Sus scrofa: one gene and its partners. The protein of the gene in region 3 interacts with the protein of the main gene of each other region in a biochemical or structural test. Links are inferred from orthologs where the notes say so. Each region holds a gene or a part of one and is shown on either strand. Other genes may lie near its edges.

Evidence for each region.
Region 1: of the proteins of CHEK2 (region 3) and ATR, one has a biochemical effect on the other in vitro, tested with the Homo sapiens proteins (2 studies listed by BioGRID). The link is inferred for Sus scrofa from reciprocal best matches to the Homo sapiens genes CHEK2 and ATR.
Region 2: of the proteins of CHEK2 (region 3) and PPM1D, one has a biochemical effect on the other in vitro, tested with the Homo sapiens proteins (2 studies listed by BioGRID, with this or other methods). The link is inferred for Sus scrofa from reciprocal best matches to the Homo sapiens genes CHEK2 and PPM1D.

The regions. Positions count from the first base shown.
Region 1 is NC_010455.5:83,285,611-83,293,117, forward strand, and holds the start of ATR (serine/threonine-protein kinase ATR), read right to left. Parts: upstream 4,377-7,507; 5' UTR 4,222-4,376; coding exon 4,163-4,221; intron 1-4,162. UniProt on the Homo sapiens protein: Serine/threonine protein kinase which activates checkpoint signaling upon genotoxic stresses such as ionizing radiation (IR), ultraviolet light (UV), or DNA replication stalling, thereby acting as a DNA damage sensor.
Region 2 is NC_010454.4:37,531,784-37,539,338, forward strand, and holds the start of PPM1D (protein phosphatase 1D), read right to left. Parts: upstream 4,377-7,555; 5' UTR 4,156-4,376; coding exon 3,684-4,155; intron 1-3,683. UniProt on the Homo sapiens protein: Involved in the negative regulation of p53 expression. Required for the relief of p53-dependent checkpoint mediated cell cycle arrest.
Region 3 is NC_010456.5:45,927,679-45,934,634, forward strand, and holds the end of CHEK2 (serine/threonine-protein kinase Chk2), read right to left. Parts: intron 4,067-6,956; coding exon 3,986-4,066; intron 2,265-3,985; coding exon 2,175-2,264; 3' UTR 2,030-2,174; downstream 1-2,029. UniProt on the Homo sapiens protein: Serine/threonine-protein kinase which is required for checkpoint-mediated cell cycle arrest, activation of DNA repair and apoptosis in response to the presence of DNA double-strand breaks.

The DNA.
Region 1 (7,507 bases), on a different chromosome or scaffold from region 3:
ATCCCCATTTAATATTTTAATGGCAATTATCACTACTGGAAAATATCTTGTGATCATAAAGTAATTTTAAACAGGAAGATCAGAGAAGTCTCTTAGAAACAACGTATGAATGGAAACAGCCAGTGTTAAGACAGAAGAAACAACAGTGCAATGGAATGAAGGTGGGAGTGACTTTTGTGTATTTGAAAGAGAAGGCCAGTGTGTTGGAGTAGAGTGAGTAAGGGAGGTACAAAAGCCCAAGGGTCAGAGGTAGGCAGAGGCCAGATTATAAAGGAATTTAGAGGCCTTGGGATGGAGTTTGGATTTTATTCTAGGTGTGCTGGAAAACCAAAGGAAGATTTTTGATCAGGAGAGTAATGTTATATAATCTACGTATGATTTATAGTTGTAAAAATCACTTTGGTTGCTGAGTGTGAAATCCACTATAAATGGGTAAAAGTGTAAAAAGAAAGATCAGCTAAGAAGTTACTCTAATAGCTCAGATAAGAAGTTATGGTGATAGTAGTGGAGATGGTTTTAAGTGTTTTTTCAAAGACAGGGTTAACAGGACTTGTTGATGATTATTAAGGGGTAAGGGGGAAAAAAATCAAGGATAACTCGCAGGCTTATTTTTCCTTTTTGACTGCATCCAAGATATGCAGAAGTTCCTGGGCCAGGGATCAAACTTGTGCCACAGCAGTGACAGTACCAAATCCTAAACCCACCAAGCCACCAGGGAATTCCCTTTTAGGCTTTTGATTGGTACATTTACAAATAAATAAGGACAGTAAATCAGGAGTTCTGCTTTGGATATGTTAATCTTCTTTTCTGGGTGTAGATGTTGAATAAACAACCTAACATATACCTCTGGGCTAGATATACATTTGGGAGTTATCAGCATTTAGACAGTATTTTTTTTCTTTTCTTTTTTTTTTGCTTTTTAGGGCCACTTGTGTGGCATATTGAAGTTCCTAGGCTAGGAGTCTAGTCAGAACTGCTGCCGCCAGCCTACACCACAGCCACAGCAAAGCAGGATCCGAACCACATCTGCAACCTACACCACAGCTCATAGCAATGCAGGATCCTTGACCCACTGGGTGAGGCCAGGGATCAAACCTACATGCTTGCGGATACCAGATGGGTTCGTTTCTGCTGAGCCACAACGGGAACTCCTAGATGGTATTTAAAGCCATGAGACTAGACAGAGTTACTGAGGAGGAGAGTTGTAGTGCAGTGGAAACTAATCCAACTAGTATCCATGAGGATGCAGGTTTGATCCCTGGCTTTGCTCAGTGGGTCCAGGAACCTGTGTTGCCGTGAGCTGTAGTGTAGGTCGCATATGCAGTACAGATCCTGCGTTGCTGTGGCTAAGGCGCAGGCCAGCAGCTGTAGCTTCGATTTGACCCCTAGCCTGGAACCTCCATATGCCATGGATGTGGTCTTAAAACGCAAAATAAATAAATAAATAAGGAAAGAGGACAATCGATGTAGCCTGAAAGCACATATGGAGCCAAGAATGACTCCTAGATTTCTAGTTTAGAAAAACGAGTGAACATGGTATCATTTACTGAGATATCTCCCTACTTCAGTGAACGAGAGGTATTTAAACAAAACAAAACTTTGGGAGGTTAGAACATACAGAGAATTTGTATTGGATATATTGAGTCTTAAATGCATGTAGGACACCCAGGGAACAACTAATGGGGTTATCAGAACAACTGCAGTATGTGGTTGGATATAGTTTTGTAGGAAATAGATATGGGAGACATGCATTTAGAGTCATCAAATAGCAGATGGTAGTTGACAGCAGGAAAATAGATGAGATCAAACAGAAAGACTATAGAGAAAAGAGTGCTAATAGGAGTTCCCGTTGTGGCCCAGCAGGTTAAGAACACAACATATTGTCTATGAGAATGCAGGTTCAATCCCTGGCCTCATGCAGTGGGTTAAGGATCTGGTGTAACTGCAAGCTGCAACATAAGTTACAGATGCCGCTTAGATCCAGTGTTGCTGCAGCTGTGGTGCAGGCCTGGGAACTTCCATGTCCCACAGTGCAATCATGAAAAAAAAAAAAAAAAAAAAAAAAAGGGAGTGCTAACAGCAGAAAACATTGGAACAAAACTTATCCCTGAGAGACAGAGGAAAAGGAGGCCATACATTTAAACAGTAACATCTTACTTTTTTCAGAAATCTAATTGCCACGGTCACTTAAGAAAAAGAAAAAAAAATTAAGGAGAAAAAGACTTGATGGCTTGAATTTGAAATCTAGCTCTAATAATTGCTATCCTTTTGACTTTGTGACTCTGTTTCTTAATAAACAGTGATAATATTTGGTCCATTCTATATCATGGAGATACTATGTGAATGAATAAGCTGCAATGAAAAAGTCATGACAATTAAAAACTACTATTAGGTAATTCTCCATGGGTAAGTGTTTTTGCTTTTGTTTTTGTTTTTGTCTTTTTTGTCTTTTTTAGGGCCACACCCACAGCATATGGAGGTTCCCAGCCTAGGGGTCTAATCAGAGCTGTAGCTGCCAGCCTACACCACAGCCACAGCAACGCCAGATCTGAGCTGCATCTGCGACCTTCACCACAGCTCACGGCAATGCCGGATCCTTAACCCATTAGGCGAGGCCAGGGATTGAACCTCATGGTTCCTAGTCGGATTCATTTCTTCTGCACCAGGACAGGAACTCCTAAGTTTTTTTTTTTATTATTCCTTCTCTTAAAATGGCTACAAATGAATCAAAGGTAACATAAGCTCTGTTGATGAAAGAGACTATAAATAAATCCAAGATAGTATTATTTTTATCAACAAGTATCATACTGGAAGAGAGAAAAGGGAAGAGAAGTATTAATCAGCAAATTCTATATTAAAGCAGGGGGAAGGGGGAAACACCCTGAGCTTTACATGGAGCCTGAAAGATGAAATAGGTACATCAACTTCCTGTGTGAACACCTGCCTTCATCTTCTTAAGAAAGGTAAATGTTACTTTACAAAATGTTTACCCAAGTATGATTGCAACACTCATGCCAAGGGGGAAAAAATCATACACACAAAAAGAGGATGATTCAGTTAAGACAAGCATGGTGCTGTTATTTATAACCTCTTATGTATGTAACTGAGGAAGACTAAATGTCAGTGTCTTGGTATGGCTAACAAGTGGAGAGGGACACAACTGCACTGCACAAAGAAAGGAAATTAAATATCCCATGGGCTTAAAATCAGTTGTGGCTGTGTGCTAAGTTTTCAAACAATTTAAGAAATTGGAAAGCAACTATTCCAATTGACAGTTCAAATGCAGTAGTGGTACAAGCCCACTTTTCTATTCACAGTAGGTTACCAAAAAAAAAAAAAAAAAAATTGAACAAACACCCTGCCTAGGCCTGGTTGAGGAAAGGTTGTAGGTGTGTTGAAGGACAGCAGACATCAACATCTCTCCCTTCTGTTGCGGCAGGAAACTGGTTTACATGATTCTATTCTCAGGTTTACAGGGGAAAAAAAAAAAAAAAGCTATGCAAATGGAACATTAAATTATCTTCAAATTTTGGCTTCATTCTTGCACATTTATATTTTGCAGACGTTGTGGTCGATTCCTGGGATTTCTGATTGAACTAACGAATTGGGGACTGGATGATCAACATGAAAAGGGTCCCATCTCCAGAATGGCCTATGGTTTCACTTCTAAGAAAGACACAAACTGCTTTTTCGAGCAACTGGCCTTCCTTGCATAAAATCTGAACAAATGACTTTTCATCCGAGGGCAGTTTGGGGTCAAAACATAGAAGACAACAGAAACTGAGACAAATCCACAGGTCAAGTACTCCATCAAGGAAAGAGGCTTTTGAGAAGCAAAGCAGTGAGTGTAGGGAAGTGATCAGAAAGTTACCATCCGGCGGGACCCTTCTTTCCCGCCGCAGAGGCAATCCCCTGGGGGTGCTGGTGGGGGAGGAGCTTCAGGGCGCCGCTGAGGTAAAGTGGGACCTGCAGACGGCCCTCCCCTCGGACCCGCATCTGGCGGGTCTGCGGCGAAGCCCCCAGTCCTTTTAACCGCCTCTCTGTAGGAGAAGCGCTCTAATCAGCCACGGAGTGTCTCCACAAGGGCCCGGGTTGAGGGGATCGGAACTAGGACGCGCGCGGCTGGGGAGGGAGAGCACGTGAGATGCCGGCCTGGCCCTACCTGCCCAGCTCCCGCAGGGCCGGGATCATAGACGCCAACTCCAGACCATGCTCGCCCATGCTGAGGACGTGCACCACCGGTCAACTACACCCAGGCGGGCTCCTGGCGTCTCCACAGCCACCTCCGATGAGAAAGCGCGGCGCCCGACGGTGCCTCGCGGGGCCCAAAACTCCTCCCGGAAGCCGTGCGGGCCCGCTCGCCAGGTCCTAGTTCTTTTCTGCGTAGGACCCGGGGGAGGCCGGGAGGCCGAAGTGGGTGGGGAGAGTGGGCGGGGCAAGGGACGCGGCGCGGCGGAGGGTCAAGTTTCCCCAGTTGGGTTCGCTCTGAGATAGGCAGCTTGGTAAGTGGCCAGGCAAAAATCGTGAGAGTTTTGGTTTTTAGTTGCTCTGCTCTGTCACTCCCAAGCTTGGGAGGCTCAGAGAACCCAGACCCCGGGTCCTGGGAGGAAAGGGGCGTGGCGGGCACTAGCCCAGAATCCCTCTCATGACAAATGTGAAAAATGAGACAATTCAGCATCTAGAGCCCCAAGATCAGATCCAGGTCTCCCCAAAGACGCCCCCAGGTTCTTCATTTTCTTACTGTTCTCTTGACGGGTGTCTGAGAGGTATGGCGCAAAAGGTGGGCTCCTCCTTGTCCCAGCGGATATTTTTTCCCCTCAAATTGAAGTCTGCATTAGGTTTCCTTGAGGATACTCTCAAGTTTTTTCCTTTCTTTTCTTTTTTTTTTTTTTTTTTTTTTTTTGGTATGGCCGCAACCGCGACAGACGGAAGTCCCCTAACCAGGGGTCAGATCCGAACGCAGCTGCAGCATCGTTGGATCCTTTAACCCTCTGTGGCAGGCTGGTGACTGAACTCTCGCCTCCATAGTGACCGGAGCTACTGCATTCGGATTCTCAACCCATTGTGCCACAGCGGGAACTTATCAACCTTTAATATTTAAGAAGAGGGTTAAATTGTGTTTATTTGTGGCTCATCAAGTGAGCGACAGTATTGTGTGTATTTATGTCACCTTTACCTTTGGCGTCTATTACCTGTGATTTAATTTTTAAGTAAATCAGTGGATTTTGGCTGTAGACATTTTGTAGCTCAACCTAGTTTTTTTTATACGAAAAATGGTCATCATAAGAGGCTGTTAACATGTCAAAGTTATGTTTAATCAGGCAAGGCCAGGCAGTGTATTTACCTTTGTTCCCTAACACAGGAGAATAATTGTTACACAGTATCTTAAGAAAAAAAAAAAAAAAGGAGGGAGTTTCTGTTGTGGCTCAGGGGTAGCAAACCCTGCTAGTGTCCATGAGCACCCAGTGGGTTAAGAATCCCTGGCTTCACTCAGTGGGTTAAGAATCCCGTGTTGGCGCAAGCTGAGGTGTAGATGGCATACGCCTCTTGGATCTGACCTAGCTGTGGTGGAGGCCAGCAGCATATGGAGGTCTGACTTGACCCCTAGGCTGGGAACCTCCATATGCCCTGGATGTGGCCCTAAAAAGACAAAAAAAAAAAAAAAAAGAAGCGGAGTGACAGCCAAATAGGCTCCTGTCTCAGGGATTTCGCGTTTGCTAAACCCTCTGCCTTGACCTTAAATATCCCTCTTAAATACCCTTCTTTCATCACTTCTCTTCAGATGTTTGCTGAAATGTCACCAGAAAGCCTCATATGGACTAGCACACTTGCACTCATACTCTCTCCCCCTCCATCCTTGCTTTATTTTCCTTCATAGCACATAGAATCAAGTTATATATTAAATACTATTTTTTTGACTGTCTCTTCCAATTAGAATATAAGCTCCTTGAGAGCGGGATTTTGCTTAGATACCTGGGACCTAAAAGAGTGCTTGGGATATAGTTGGTATGTAGTAATTATTTGTTAAATACCAGAATGCTATAGTGGGTGTTAGAGCACCAGGGAAAGAAAGACGGTTGACTGAAGCAGTGACATTTCAAACAAGATTTATTGACCAGCAGAGTGGTTGGGAGCACTGAGCAAGAGGAACTCAGAGCTGCCCGCTGTTGGGAGAAATTCAGGTTTTATAGGCTGGGGGTTTTGTGCTGAGTTCTGTAGGTCCAGGATGGTGGTTGAGATCAATGTATAAAAATTTAACTTTCTCGAAGTCCTCGTTGTGGCGCAGTGGAAATGAATCTGACTGGGAACCATGAGGTTGTGGGTTTGATCCCTGGCCTCGCTCAGTGGGTTAAGGATCTGTTGTTGCCGTGAGCTGGCCTGCATTGCTGTGGCTGGGGTGTCAGCCGGTGTCTACAGCTCTGATTGGACCCCTAGCCTGGAAACACCATATGCTGTGCATGCTACCCTAAAAAGACCAAAAAAAAAAAAAATTAATTTTCTCTTTGGGCTGTCTTTGTCCTTGGGAAGTCAACCGCTTCATGGGCTTGGTTTTTCCACTTGTGGCGGTCCAGTGAAGTGGAGGCTGCAGGTCTGAGTCTGGGTGGGTCAATGAGTCATGCAGACTTACTCTTTTTTAGGTCTTCATTTTAGTTTCTACCTAAGAGTGGGCAGATCATGTGATTTTGAGTTGAGCCCCTATGCAAGTTCTCACTCCATCTGCTGGAAACTATAAAGTTGGTTGAGTTACTTAACCTCTTTGTACTAAAATTTTTCATCTATAAAATGAGATTATTAATATCTACTGCATAATGTTATAGTAAAGATAAAATAAGAGGTGGTAGTGTCCTACAGTGGAATATCATTTCGTAGTTAAAATGAATGAAGTGTGAATTCTGAAAACAGTGTTGAGTGAAAAAAAGCAAAAGACAAAAGGATACATAACAGTATCAAGGCACTTACATACCTTTTGAACTCACAAAATAAGGCTTTGTGTGAGTGAATTGTGTATACATATATATATGATAAAAAAAATTTTTCTTAATGGTTGGAAAGGCTATACATCAACTCCAGGAGAGTTGTACCTCTGGAGAAGGAGAGAAGGGATGTAATAATAAGTTTTCAATATATCTGTGAAGATTTTCTTTTAATTGGATTGGATTAATCATGACAAATTTAACGTTTACTATGTTTGGGTGACCTGCTGATATCTCTCTAATTCTTCCGTTCAGATCTCTCTCAGATTTATATTTCATATGTCTACCTTTCTACTGCATTTTTTTCCTTGAGTTTTTTCCCAGGCATTTTATTTTTAACTTTTTGTTATGGACACTTTCAAATATATATGAAAAATAGAATAGGAGTTCCCTGGTGGTGCAGCAGGTTAAGGATCTCGAGTTGTCACTGCTGTGCCTCCAGTTAACTGCTGTGGAACTTCTGCATAGCCTGGGTGTAGCCAAAAAAAAAAAAAAAGTAGAGAGAGTAGACTAAGTAAACCCCCCCACCTATG
Region 2 (7,555 bases), on a different chromosome or scaffold from region 3:
GTCCTTTGATGATGCAATAAGTTAACTTTATTTTAAACTTCCACCCATGTCTTTTTAACATCCTGTATGACAAAAAGGGAAGCATGCATAAACACTTCTGTTGCATGCTATGGCTGTCTAGAGAAAAAGTGAAAAGCACTTGTGATTATGCAAGTTATGAAATGAACTAGCCACATTCTTCACAGACCATCATTTTTACTTGAAGGACTGATAAAATGTGTTAATAAACTTTGGCATTTTGGGAGTTCCCATTGTGGCACAGTGGTTAAGGAATCCGACTAGGAACTATGAGGTTGCGGGTTCTATCCCTGGCCTTGCTCAGTGAGTTAATGATCCAGCATTGCAGTGAGCTGTGGTGTAGGCTGCAGACGTGACTCGGATCCAGCGTTGCTGTGGCTGTGGCGTGGGCCAGTGGCTATGGCTCTGATTCGACCCCTAGCCTGGGAATCTCCATATGCCGTGGAAGCGGCCCTAGAAAAGACAAAAAGACAAAAAAAAAAAAAAAACTTTGGCATTTTGTACATTTTCTTCAAAACAAAGTGCTTTTCACTTCAAGAAAAGCAACTGACAGTATTTATTGCTAAGTGACAAATTTCTGCCTCTTAAGAACTCATATTTTAGGAGTTCCTACAGAGGCGAAATGGGATTGGTGGCATTTCTGCAATGCCAGCACACAGGTTTGATCCCTGGCCCAGCACAGTGGGGTAAAAGATCAGGCACTGCCACAGGGTGGCCAAAAAAGAAAAAAAAAAAAAAAACCTCACATTTTAGGAATTCCTGCTGTGGCACAGTAGGTTAAGGATGCAGTGTTGCTGCAGCTGCAGCGTAGGCTGCAGCTCAGAATTGATCCCTGCCCCAGGAACTTCCATATGCTGGAGGCCAAAAAAAGCCCTCATATTTAAGACTTTGTATATCCACTACGATGAACTTGATAGCTTCCTAGTCTTAAATTTCTGATGAGATCAGTGATATTAACAAATGTGATGCTTTAATATCATATGATAAATGCATCAGGAGTTCCCGCCGTGGCTCAGTGGTTAATGAATCCAACTAGGAACCTCGGGATTGTGAGTTTGACCCCTGGCCTGCTCAGTGGGTTAAGGATCTGGGGTTGCCATGAGCTGTGGTGTAGGTCGTAGCCTGGGCTCGGATCTGGTGTTGCTCTGGTGTAGGCTGGTGGCTACAGCTCCGATTAGACCCCTAGCCTGGGAATCTCCATATGCGTCAGGTGCAGCCCTAGATGAGACAAAAAGACAAAAAATAATAATAATAATAATTAAAAAAATAAAATAAAATGCATCTATACTTGAAAGATATGCATAATTCAGTGAACCATTATTTTCCAAATTCCTAATGAATGGCACCATGTCACAAAATCACAACTGGGTAAAAGACTGATTCAAGGTGCAAGAGACCAATGGCTCTTAATGTCAAAATGCAGAAGTTCAATGGATAAGGTTTCAGATTCTATTTTGAGTAACCTTAAGAAGCTACCAATTTGGTATGGAATATCACAATCATCTGAAAATACAAACAATTCCTCCCTTTTCCTACTACATACGTTTGCAAGTCTGCCTTTTCACTTACATACGTCACCAGACAACACAGCATAAGAGAGTGAATGAATGCAGAAACAGGTATGAGAATATTTATTTCAAATTTTCTTATTTGGGGGAAAAAAGTAATTTTTCACTTAAAAATATGTCAACATATATGTTTATTTTTAATAGATTAATAACTTTAATTTCTCAATTTTTAACTTCTCATACAGTAAATATGATAGATATAGCCCACACAAACAAAAGCTCTTTAGGGTTCTAAGTCCTTTCAGTACAAATTTACGAGAGCAAAAAGTTTGAGAAACACTACTATAACCCAATGAGAACTACAAAAGTGGAAACTTGACATAGGAAGTTTCCTTTGTCAGGACTTCCATATACTCAGCGTACTCTTTTTCCTTAATTCAAGTTTTGCGGATAGAGTATGAGATTAACTGTGGAACAAAGCAAACTTTAACATTTGGTGCATAAGGCTCTAAACCCATGCCTCAAAGGAGTGAAATCTTGGCACAAGAATTATGTTAAAAAAAAATACACATTCAAAAATAAATAAATAAATAAATAAAACACAGACATTCATTAATAAAGCATGGTTTCTGCTTTATTAAAAAATGCTCAAGTAAAAGGGTTTATACTTGGATCCTTTTGGTGAAAACATGTGGCAAATTCATGCTGTTTCAACTGTACTGCAAAATAAACAGAATTCCAAGTAGTACTTTGTGTCTAATCTTCCTCTATCTTGTCTTGCTGTCCCTCCTACTTGCCCTGCAAGCAATGAAATGACATATTTCTGGAATATACTGCAGTGCTTTCAGCTCTGCTCTGCCTACACAAAAACAAAACAAATCCATAATAGGGACCTCTGGGATTGGATGGAAAACAGCCTCCCACAGGCGGACTGGTTATGCTATGAGTCAATCAAATAATTCTTGGCAGAAAGCCAGGCAAATAGAAAACAGACTCTGAAAGAGCCTAGTCTACAACTCCATCAGAATACCTTTTTAAAAATGTTTTGTATTTGACCAATCTTTACACTCTATGTCTCTCTTCTGGAAATAAAGCAACACTATGCCACCATATAAACAAGAGGATTTTTTTTAATGACACACAGTATCATTTTTTCCTCTAAAAAATAATTTATGCCATTCATTCACAGCAATGGGTAAGCAACTATAACTCAACTTATGTTAGGTACAGAAACAATGGCTGCTTTAGAAAACATTTAAGGCTTAGATGAAACTGCAACTAAACCAAACTTTTAGAAATTAAGGTCTCTAATTCCTTTTAGCATATCAGCAATTCCTTATCTCTTGCTACTTTGACGAGCAGCTACAATTTAGCTACAAAGAACTTTTAACTAGGAACTGCTGAGAACTATCTGACAGCAATTAGCTAATAGCAACTTCAGCAAAAAAAAAAAAAAAGTGCACTTTAAAAAAGCCCTAGCTGAATTTAACACGTATTCTTAACGTAGGATCAATTTAGGCGGTAAGAATGCATTCGGCGCTGGTTTTCATGAGCAGTACAAGCATAAAGATCCTAGAAACACTTGATGACCACCACACACACGAAATTCCTTCCAAGCCTTTAGGTCGCCGGATAACTTGTTAGCCTAACAGTTTACTCTAACTACCAGCCACCAGGGGTCAATTTTGGAGGACTGACACCGCCCGTAGGAGACAACCGAGTCTTTCAAAAGCAAAATTGTGACAAATTCGAAGGAAACGCTCTAATTTTTGCCATCTCCCGCTTCCTTTGCGTGTTTCAGGCAGCACCGTGTCTTCAATGAATCTTTTGGCCAAATCTGGCGCCAGGTTTCAAACATGTTTTCGCTGGCCGCCACCAAAGTGAAATCGCGAAGGGAGAGGACCGCTCCCCCACTGATCCTTGGCGGGGATGGGGGGTGTAAATAAAACGTGGAGCGTTTGCACAGAGACAGTAATCCTGTCCTGCCCAAAGCTACTTTGTTTGCCCGGACCTCCACCTAGAAGAGTCTTCACTCCCACCGATGGACACTGAGAGCGCTCTCGTTGTGGGGACCTGCAGTGCTGCAGCTACGGCCCCCAACCTGGCGCTACAGTCTCCTGAAAAAGAGGCGGGCGCCAAATAAGCCGGGGAACTTACCCAATTTCTTCCACATGGCGAGGTGACAAGCAAGGAAGCCCTTGCGGATGGCAGCGCACACCTTCGCCGGCTCGGACGAGGTGAAGCCCTTCTGTTTTTTGATGAAACCCCACAAGTGCTCCCGGGCAAACTGTGCCGCCTCCCGCCCGCCGTGCCCGTCGCACACGGCGAAAAAGGCCACCGAGGAACGGCGGCGGCAGCAGCGGCCGGGAGCTGGCGAGGCCCCGGCGTCCGGCGGAGCGTCGCGAGCTTCTCGGGCTGCCACCGCTGGGCCTTTCCCCGAGACTTCGCCTCCAGGAAGGGCCGGCGGTGTCCGCTGCGGGGGCGACGGCTGAGAAAGCGACCGCCGCGGCGAGGGCTTTTCTTCAGTTGTCGGCTCGGGCTCCACCACGATCTGAGTAACGTCCTCCATGTACTTCCTCCCGCCCTGGTCGGAGAAGACGCTCACTCCCAGTGAGTACAGCCCCGCCATGGCCGGCTGGCCGAGATCCCGCCGGTCCCACGCAGCCCGCCGAGCGGCGGGAGACACTCGGCGCTAGCCGGCCAACTATTGTTTATCTTCGACGACGCCGAGAAGGGGGAGGGGGCGGTCCCGGAGGTGGGGGGGCGCGATGTCGGGACTTGTCCGCGAGAGCTGGGCCGGAGCGCCCGGGCAAGCGGAGCCTAGCAGCTGCGCCTGCGCAATGCGCCTCCCCCGCCTGCCCGCGCCCACCACACAAATCGGACGTTCTCCCCGGCTGACGTCACTCGGCTCTCTGGGGCCGACCAATCCGGAGTCGAGTTGGGGGCGAACACGCCCTCCGCCCCTCCCTTCTCCCTACAACGGCCGCACTCCCTCCTCCCTGCGCGGGCGCGAAGCCAGCGCGCTACCCGGCTGGCTTTCGCTTTGCAGTGGGCGGTTTCGTCCTCCGGCTTTTCGGCGGGTGCTAAACGCTTATCTAGCGCCTTCTCTGTCACCTTTTTGCTCCGTCCCCGCGGTCGAATTGCAGCCTGCTGCCCAGGGCGTTGCGTTGCTTGCCTGGTGGGAAAAGCCGTGTAGGCTCGGGCCTCGCACGAGTGTGAAGAATCTAGAGAGAAAAACCTTCCATTTCTTGAAGTGGCGGGAAACCTCAGTTTGGAAGGTGGTTTGTGAATAGGCTGGGAAAAGCGTGGCACTGTCGAACTGGACTTGGGTGGGATGGATCCGACTGGGAGTTGTGAAAGGAAATCCACTTTGTGTTAAGAAAACACGGGAAATTTCCACCATTGGCTGCACGGTCTCGTTTCACATAAACTAGGTATGTCGGACACTTAAACGGCTTATGTTTTAAGTTCTTTTCAGCTTTTGCTAAAAGTAGTACTTTCCCCGATGAGCCCTGGATGCAGCATTTTAGTCCTTCGGCGGAATCACTTGAACAGACCACTTGAAAATAGGTTACAAAAACTGCCCAGCGCTCGAGTGCTCCAAGACCTTGGTTATCGTCTCTCCTCTTCTCCCATGGGTTGCAATCTAAGCCCTAAAACCTTTGCCCGGATTTCGACGGCATTAAAATAAGCCTCAGAGTTGGCAGGTCAGTTTGTTATCAACAGCAAATGTTCCTGTGAGTCAAATTAAAGTTCACTTTTTCAGTTTTCGGCCACTTCACCATCACCTCTCCTGTGTGCCCCTTCCTGTACAGCCTTAGAAATTTCCAAATGAAATGCTCCTGGTACTGAACTGGGAATAGGGAAAAAAACTGCTCTCTCTCTTTTTTTTTTTTTTTGTCTTTTTGCTATTTCTTGGGCCGCTCCCACGGCATATGGAGGTTCCCAGGCTAGGGGTCTAATCGGAGCCGTAGCCACCAGCCTACGCCAGAGCCACAGCAACGCAGGATCTGAGCCGCGTCTACAACCTACACCACAGCTCACGCAAGGCCAGATCGTTAACCCAATGAGCAAGGGCAGGGACCGAACCTGCAACCTCATGGTTCCTAGTCAGATTCGTTAACCACTGCGCCAGGAGGGGAACTCCATGCTCATTTTTTTGACATCTGGCACAAGAAATACAACTAGAAAAAAAATCCTCCCAATAAAAGAAGTAAAATCACCCCGAAATGGAGAAAATCTGAATAGATCCATTAAATTAAAAATGTAATCAAAGATAAGCCCTATGTTAAAATGCACCAGACCAGATGGTTCCAGAGTGTAAAAACACTTGGAAAAAATCCCAGCTTGTTTTGAAAGGTGATCATAATCCTGTTATCAAAACCTAGTAATTATAACACTAGAAGGAAATCTATAGACAACATTTTATACTAAATGCAAAAAAAGGTGAAATATTAGCAATTCTAATCCAATAATCTCCATAACACAAGACCTGCCAAAAAGAACAGTTTATGTAGCTCTATATTATTCCTCTTAAATAGTTTACCCAACTTCCCTTCCCCTTGTAGAGATTACAAAGGGATCATTACTTCATTCTCTATAATCCTTTTCCCTCAGTCACAATCAGTAGCCTCAGGGTCATCCATCATTACCCTGATTAGCATCTCCATGCTACTCTCTTGATTCAGTACCCTGCTCTTCACCAGTCATCCTAACCATTTCTCTCCACCCTTTAGGTTTCAACATCTGTTATCAGCCATTTCCTCTTTGTTTTTCACTCTTCTCTAAATGTTCCCATCAGCTTCCTGTTCCAACCGAAAACTGGTTGATTGCCTAGCAAAACTACCTCCCTTACAACTTTTCAAGTAGATTATTTTTCCTCTCAACAGATATTCTTATCTTCGAACCGTCTCATATTGCCTACAAATCATTTCCCTTCCTTCCTCCTTCAAAAATCTAAGCTCTCTCTCCCTTTTTTTTTTCTTTTTGCCATTTCTTGGACCGCTCCCTCGGCATATGGAGGTTCCCAGGCTAGGAGTCGAATTGGAGCTGTAGCCACCGGCCTACACCACAGCCACAGCAAACGCCGGATCCTTCACCTACTGAGCAAGGTCAGGGATCGAACCCTAAACAGTACCTAGTCAGATTCGTTAACCATTGTGCCACAATGGGAACTTCAACCTAAGCTCTTTTAAAATTAGTGACAACTGCCACAACACCAAGATACTGTAACACCCCTTCATTTGTTCCTGGCTCACTGTCTAATTTGCTTCCACTATGCTTTTTGTTTTGTTTTGTTTTGTTTGTCTTTTTAGGGCCGCACCTATGGCACATGGAGGTTCCCAAGCTAGGGGTGGAATGGGAGCTGTGGCCGCCGGCCTACCCAACAGCCACGGCAACTGGGGATCCCAGCTGTGTCTTCTACCTACACTACAGCTCACAGCAATGCTGGATCTTTAACCCACTGAGGGAGGCCAGGGATCGAACCTTCTCCTCATGGATACTAGTCAGATTCGTTTCCGGAGTCAGGACAGGAGCTCTTGTCTTCCACTATTCTTGTCGCTTCTTAGCCACTTTATTTTTCAAAATGTTATCCACATTTTCTGTCCAATACCCTGGCTTCTCAGCTCTTCATCTTCCTCTTCATGGTGACATGGCCTTGCTACCATTAAGAGCAATCCCTCTATTGTGTTCTCATTTCTCTTTCCTCTATTGAGATCTTTACTCCACCAGGTATCTTTTTTTTTTTTTTTCTTTTTTTGGTCCTACCTCATCAATTCATCAATTTCTCTTTTTCCACCAAGTCATTTCCATCTTTGTAAAAACGTGTCCTGGTTTCTCCGCCTCCTCCCCCACACCCATGGCTTGCAGAAGGTGCCAGGCCAGGGGTCAAACCCTTGCCCCAAGCCTCTCTCTAGATTCTACTTCCAATTCCTACCTCATAACTTCTCCTTAACCCATTCTAATCAAGTGCCATCCCTGTAATGCTGCTAAGACTATTTTTAGGACATAACCAGACCTCTCTGCTT
Region 3 (6,956 bases):
AAAAGAATCAATGCTGGATGGCCTCAAACCAGCAACTGATGTCTCTCCATTTATGATTAGTTTCCTATGGCTGCTGTAACAAATTATCACAAATTGGGTGGCTTAAAACAACACAATTTATTCTCTTAAAGTTTTGTGGGTCAGAAGTCTGAAATCAGTTTCATTTTGTGAAAGTCAAGGTGTAAAGGAAAGGACTGGTTCCTCAGCAGGCTCTGAGGGAGAATCCATTTCCTTGCTTTTTGTCAGCGTCTAATAGCTGCCTATATTCCTTGGTTGATGGCCTCTTCCTGTTTTCAAAGAGCACCACTCCATCTCTTCTGACTCTGCCTCTTCCTGTGTCCCTCTTGAAAGGAACATTGTGATGATATTGAGTCCACCTTGATAAAACAGATCCCAAGATCCTTCACTTAATCACACCCACAAAATCTCTTGTGCCATGTAAAAGAACATGCTCATAAATTCTGGGGATTGGGATGAGAATATCTTTAGAGGTCATTATTTATCCCACTCTAGTAGGTATAATCAGAGGGACCTAATACAAAGTGCTCTGGAAACAGAAGGGCTGGCTGACTCTGCCCCAAGAGGGAAAGAGGCCCTAAGAAACCACAGCCTTCACATTAAATATTCAAATGAGCTAAAACCCATCTAACTTGGCAATCTCAGCCTCATTCCTTTAAATATGCAAACCACCTAAATCCCATCAAGCCCTAAGTAATGGGCCAGCCAAGCCTCAGAAAGCTTGCGCACCCTTCTAATGGAAATTGCCAACCACCACCCTTAATGCCTGGGGCAACAACTATGTGCTCACCCTATCCTGGCTGGCTCACCCACTGGCATCTGAACCAAGGCACTCAACTCATGGCATGGTCAACAAGCTACAATGTGGCCTAGTGTCAGCCAGCCAAAGTTGCAAGAGAAGCAAAATCAGTGGGTCAGAAGGAGACAAGAGGAGCCAGTCAGTAGAACTGTCTACGCTCCTGCTCCCAGGCCCAGCCGTCTGTAACAATGAAACAAATCCCCTTTTCCATATAGTAATTGAATGGGCCTCTGTTCCTTGCCACCAAGATGTTCCAACTAACACAGATCATAGGTTGTACTCATTCATCATGATTGAACATACTGGTATTCAATATTTAGACATCAGTCTTATGTGAGTTTTGTCAGTGTGAGTCAACATCTGTGAGTCTGACTAAATATGGGAAGGAGATGAGGAACATGAATTTGTGTCGGAAAACCCTGGGTTGGGTCCCAGGTCTGCCACTTCCTAGTTGTATGATGTTGGATAAGTCACCTTACTCCTTCAGCCTGGGTTCCTCACCTATAACATAAGGTTATAGGGGCATTTCCAAAATCCAAATAGCTCTGAAACCTGAGTGTCCCCCATAACCGACATGGTAGAAGATGGACCTGAAGTGCCATGAGGCTACTTAGTTTTCTCTATCCCAACTACTTTGAATATTTGTTGCAGAAAAATTAGTGTTTGGTTTTAGGACTCAGCTGGATATTACACACAACACAGTCCATGTGCCTGGTCCTCTTCCTAAACTAAGGAAATTTTTGAATTTTACAATGTATCTGTCCCTGTTATTTCAAGGATAATGAGGGTGAGGATAGGACTCTAAAACTGACCCATGGTATACTGTCTTCTGAGGACTCTGGCATCCAGCCAGTGGATACAAACTCCACCCCAAGTCACTGTACCCCTTCCCCGTACAACTTTTTAAGGGGCCTTCAGAATCTGTATGAGGTTCACTTAGGCTGAGACCAGGGGTGCATCCTAAGAAACCTGCCTGATTATAGCCAAGGTAAAAGCACCAAAGGCACACAGCAACTTCACATACACACACACTAAAGGCATGTAACTAAGAGCTAGTCAACAAGCAAAAGCACAAGAGTTCCCTTGTGGTGCAGTGATTTAAGGATCCAGCATTGTCACTGCAGCAGCTTGGGTTCAATCCCTGGCCTGGGAAATTCCACATGCCACAAGTGTGGCCAAAACAAAAACAAAAACAAGCAGAAGCACAAAGCCTGGGTTCCATTTGTTTTCAATTGTATATTGATGATCGTGGAAAAACAACTATTCCTATAATGGAAATACAAAGTATAAAAAACAGATTTAAAGGAAATGGCAGCAGAGTTCAAGAAGGTACATTCTTTTCATGGTCACCCGGTGTTCACAAGACAGCAGCACACACAGCCAGGTGCTTTGTGGGCTCAGCATCCTCTGTATCCCCCTCAAGATGCCGCTTTCGACTTGTAGAAGGCTGGAAGGAAAAGGGAGAAATGTTCAAAGAAAACCTATGGCTTCTTTATGATGATCAGAGTTTCCCAATATGATTCCAGTAAATTTGGAGCACTTTTTTTTCTTTCTTTTTTGGCCACACCCGAGGCATATGGAAGTTCCCAAGCCAGGGATGGAATCCGAGCCATAGCTGCAAACTTTGCCACAGTGCAGCAATGCTGGATCCTTTAACCCACTGTGCCTGGCTGGGCAGGAACCTACACCTCTGCATCGACCAGAGCTACTGCGGTTGGATTCTTAACCCACTGTGCCAGGGTGGAAACTCCTAAGCACATTTGGTCCATGTGCGTAGGTGGAGGCTACAGCAAAGCCAGTCCTTAACCCACTGCACTGCGCTGGGCAGAGGATCAAATTCATTCTGCCCCAGAGACAACATGGGATCCTTAACCCATGGCACCACAGCAGGAACTCCCTGGAGCACTTCATGTGAAACTTCTAGGAACTACTGGTTGCCCTCAGTCAATCTGAATCCCTACCCCAGCCCTCGCAAACACCCAGAAATACTTATCAAACTGATATTTCTCTCCCTTGTGGCCTCCAATCACTCAATGATGTACATTGAACATAAGCAGTATAACCAGCCTCTTCTTGGTTGTTTTCTCCTAAGTTATGAAATTTAAAGGGACCACAATTCATCTCTCCCAGGGAGCCTCAAGTCTCTCCCTTTTGTGGAAAGATAATCTTTTTTGTGTCTTTGTTATCCCATTTATAAAACTTCGAGGGAGCAGTGGGAAGAAGAATGTTACCAAAAGAAGGCAAACTAAGAATGAACAGATAGTAACTGATACTTACACAAAGAATTTTAGAGAAGATTATAATCAGGAAATCAACTACTCCCGCAATTTTTAAAAATTTATTATTATTATTATTATTATTATTGTCTTTTTAGGGCCAGACCTGTGGCACATGGAGGTTCCTAGGCTAGGGGTCCAAACAGAGCTGTAGCCGCCAGCCTACAACAGAGCCACAGCAATGCGGGATCTGAGCCGCATCTACAGCCTACACCACAGCTCCCAGCAATGCCGGATCCCCAAGCCACTGAGCAAGGCCGGGGATCAAACTCGTGTTCTCATGGATGCTAGTCAGGTTCGTTAACTGCTGAGCCATGACAGGAACTTCCACTCCCCCAAATTTTAAATTTTTCAACGAATTTAAATCTGAGCCTCTAATACAGTCTTCCAATCTTGCCTTGTAGGAGACTTCTTGAATGACAACCCCTAGCTGTGCTTTTCATGCATTAAACATATTCTTCATTATTAAATCTTCTAAAGGTTGTACAGCAGATCAAGCTGAAACAAAGTATCTACTAAATTATTCTTTACCAAAAAAAAAATATTAAGCAATTGCTGCTAAAGAGATTATTCAAACCATCATCCTCCAATCCTCAGTTCTTTTTTTTTTCCTAGGGCTGCACCTACAGCATATGGAAGTTCCCTGGCTAGGGGTTGAATCAGAGCTATAGCTACCAGCCTATATCACAGCTACAGCAACATGGGATCTGAGCCATGTCTGCAAACTATACCACAGTTCATGGCAATGCCAGATCCTTAACCCACTGAGGCCAGGGATAGAGCCAGCATCCTCATGGATACTAGTCGGGTTCGTTAACCACTGAACCACAACGGGAACTCCCACTCAGCTCTTTAAACTTAGCCTACATTTAATGACCATCTTCCAGAATACCTGGGCTGGAACCTGAGACAGAGCTGTGGACTTGTCTTCTTCAAAAAGCAAATTCTTAAATTTTCTCTTCATGTCCTCATCCTGTGAAGAAATGAAAAACATTAAGTAGGCAGAAAGGCAGGGCTAGGATGCCCCTGGAAACAGGGAAATGGGAACTCCCGTCTGTCCACACAGAGGCTGCCCTTGCTGAAGCTCCAGAAGGGAGAAGACTAGGCAGTCCTCACCTCTGCCTTCACAGAACAGTCTGATCAGCAGTCAGTGCTCAGCAATGGCTGAACCAAACCCGTAGGCTTAAGAGCTGTTGGTGGGTCAGAGAGAACCAGAGACTGGAGTTCCCGTCATGGTGCAGTGGTTCACGAATCCAACTAGGAACCATGAGGTTGCGGGTTCAATCCCTGGCCTTGTTCAGTGGGTTAAGGATCTGGCGTTGCTGTGAGCTGTGGTGTAGGTCGAAGACACGGCTCGGATCCCGCGTTGCTGTCGCTCTGGCGTAGGCCAGCAGGCTACAGCTCCAATTCGACCCCTAGCCTGGGAACCTCCGTATGCCTCGGGATCGGCCCTAGAAATGGCAAAAAGACCAAAAAAAAAAAAAAAAAAAAAAAAAAGAGAGAGAGAGAGAACCAGAGATTTCAGTAGTCAAAGACTTTCAGAACTAGCACCCCAGATCCTAAGACATGGTAATCAAGAGGCCAGAGGCTGAGGCTGGCTCCATGCTGCTCCCCCTGCCAACAATGAGGCCAATTACTGGGGCCATCCTAACAAAGCAACCCTGTACCCTAGGAAAATAAACTGGGCAAGCACTGTACAATTGCCAGAAGGACTTCCAGTGCACAATATCCCAAGGATAACGAGAAAGAAGGACAAGTGAACAGGCCATAGCATTATAGGTGTTTCTTTCTGCTAGAGGGGAATTGGAGAGAGAGGGGTTTATACAGATAACTCTCACCTCCATGGATGCTCGCAACTACCAAGGACTTGCATCCGAGAGCCCTGAAAAGTGACAGCTCTCCCCACCTTCAGAAAGGGGAAACATTCATGACTAGGACTGTGGGCTTTGGGGCCAGCTAGAAGCCAAGCTCAGCCACTTACAAGCTACGTGTGCAGAATACAGCCCCAGAGCAGCCTGATTCCATATACTTTCCTACCCGACCTGCCTCCACTCTCCCAGTGCACCATGATGGTTGAGGAGAAAGGACACAGGAATGAAGGCCTTCAACGTTCAATAATTTGATGGATGAAGAATTACAGTGTTTGAGGATGAATCCGCCTGTTCTACACCTATTACCTAGAATCATCTGCTTCCATCACCCTGTTTACTGAATCACTCAGTGTAGCTCTCCACTGCCCAAGCACCAAGTTCATCTGGATTCCACTCCACATAGTTCCCTAGGATCTCACTTCTCAGGCAAGGCCACCCTCAATTGTCCATCCCTTATTTCTCCTGCAGCTGCTTACAGCCTCAGCTGGGAACCCCTCTGTGCCTTCCTGCCCACCCACCACCTCACCCCACTTCCTCATTCACTAGGTGAACAAATATTTTGCAAAGACCCTTAGATGTCAGGCGCTATAATAAGCACAGGGGCCTCCATATCAGAGGGACTCAATCAGTGTTAAAAATGCTATCCCCTGTTGTTATGGCAACTGAACTGTGATTGTTATGACTGAACTGTGTGAGTCATGACTGAACTGTACCTCTCCCCCACCCCCATTTATATATTGAAGCCCAACACCTCATATTGTGACTGTACTTGGAGACAGGGCCTTTAAAGAGGTAATTAAGTTAAAATGAGGCTCTTAGAGTGGGGCCTTAACGCATTATGGCTGGTCTCCTCCTAAGAAGAGAAAAAGACACCAGGGATGTGAGCACACAGAGAAAAGACCAAGTGAGGACACAGTGAGAAGAGCAGCCACCTGCAAAGTGAGGAAAGAGACCTCAGGAGAAACCAAAGCTGCTGGCACCTTGAAATTGGATTTCAAGCCTCCAGAATTGTGAGAAGATAAATTTCTGTTTTTTAAGCCACCTGGTCTACGGTATTCTGCTATGGCAGCCAGAGCGGACTGACACAGTTATGTCACCTCCGAGCCATGCAGCCTTTGGATGCTCCTCACACCGTGTGAACCTGTGGTTACCTGAAGCCCTGTGGCCCTGTCTCACCCTGGAGATTCCCCTACTCTGCACCCACCCCTATTGCCACACGTGTCCCACTGCTCTTAACTGTCCTCTGAAAGAACAAGTGAATGCATGAAAAAATTAAATCATGCAGCCATAGAGAACTGACCACAAGCCTATGTAGGCCTGTATTTAAAACAAGTCATCAGTGGAGTTCCCTTGTGGTACAGCAGGTTAAGGACCCAGTGCTGTCACTGCAGCGGCTTGGGTCACTGCTATAGTGTGGATTTGATCCCTGGCCCAGGGACTTTCACATGCCCGAGGCATGGCCAAAAGTAAAAAAATAAAACAAGCTGTCAGTAAACAATCACATCAAAAAGGTGCTCATTACATATGTATCTTTAAATATCCTTCCTTTGAGATGTCTATAATCTATTAATATGCCTCCAAATTAAGCAGGAAGGAATCCTCTATTTCTTTCTTTTTTTTTTTTAATTTGGCACCTTTATTTGAGAAAGACTGCAAGATTGAATTTCTACAGGTATAAACTAATTTAGAGTTTGAAATCACGGTAACACTGAATCAAAAACACTTTATCCTGCACAGAAATTTGGCACAGAAATGTTCATTTGGATTTTCATCTACTTACATTTCACAGTATGCATTTGTACATACAAAAACAGACAAATGAGGAGGACAACAGCTTATAGATCTAAGTAAATCATCTGTGGCAACATCTCACTTATCTTGAGGTCACAGATCGGACAACTGCAGTTGAGGATCGGGAAAAGAGGAAGCAGCTGAGCCATTCAAGTCAATCAGTGCACCAACATTCATCCATTTCCCTGCTAGAAAAGTCTC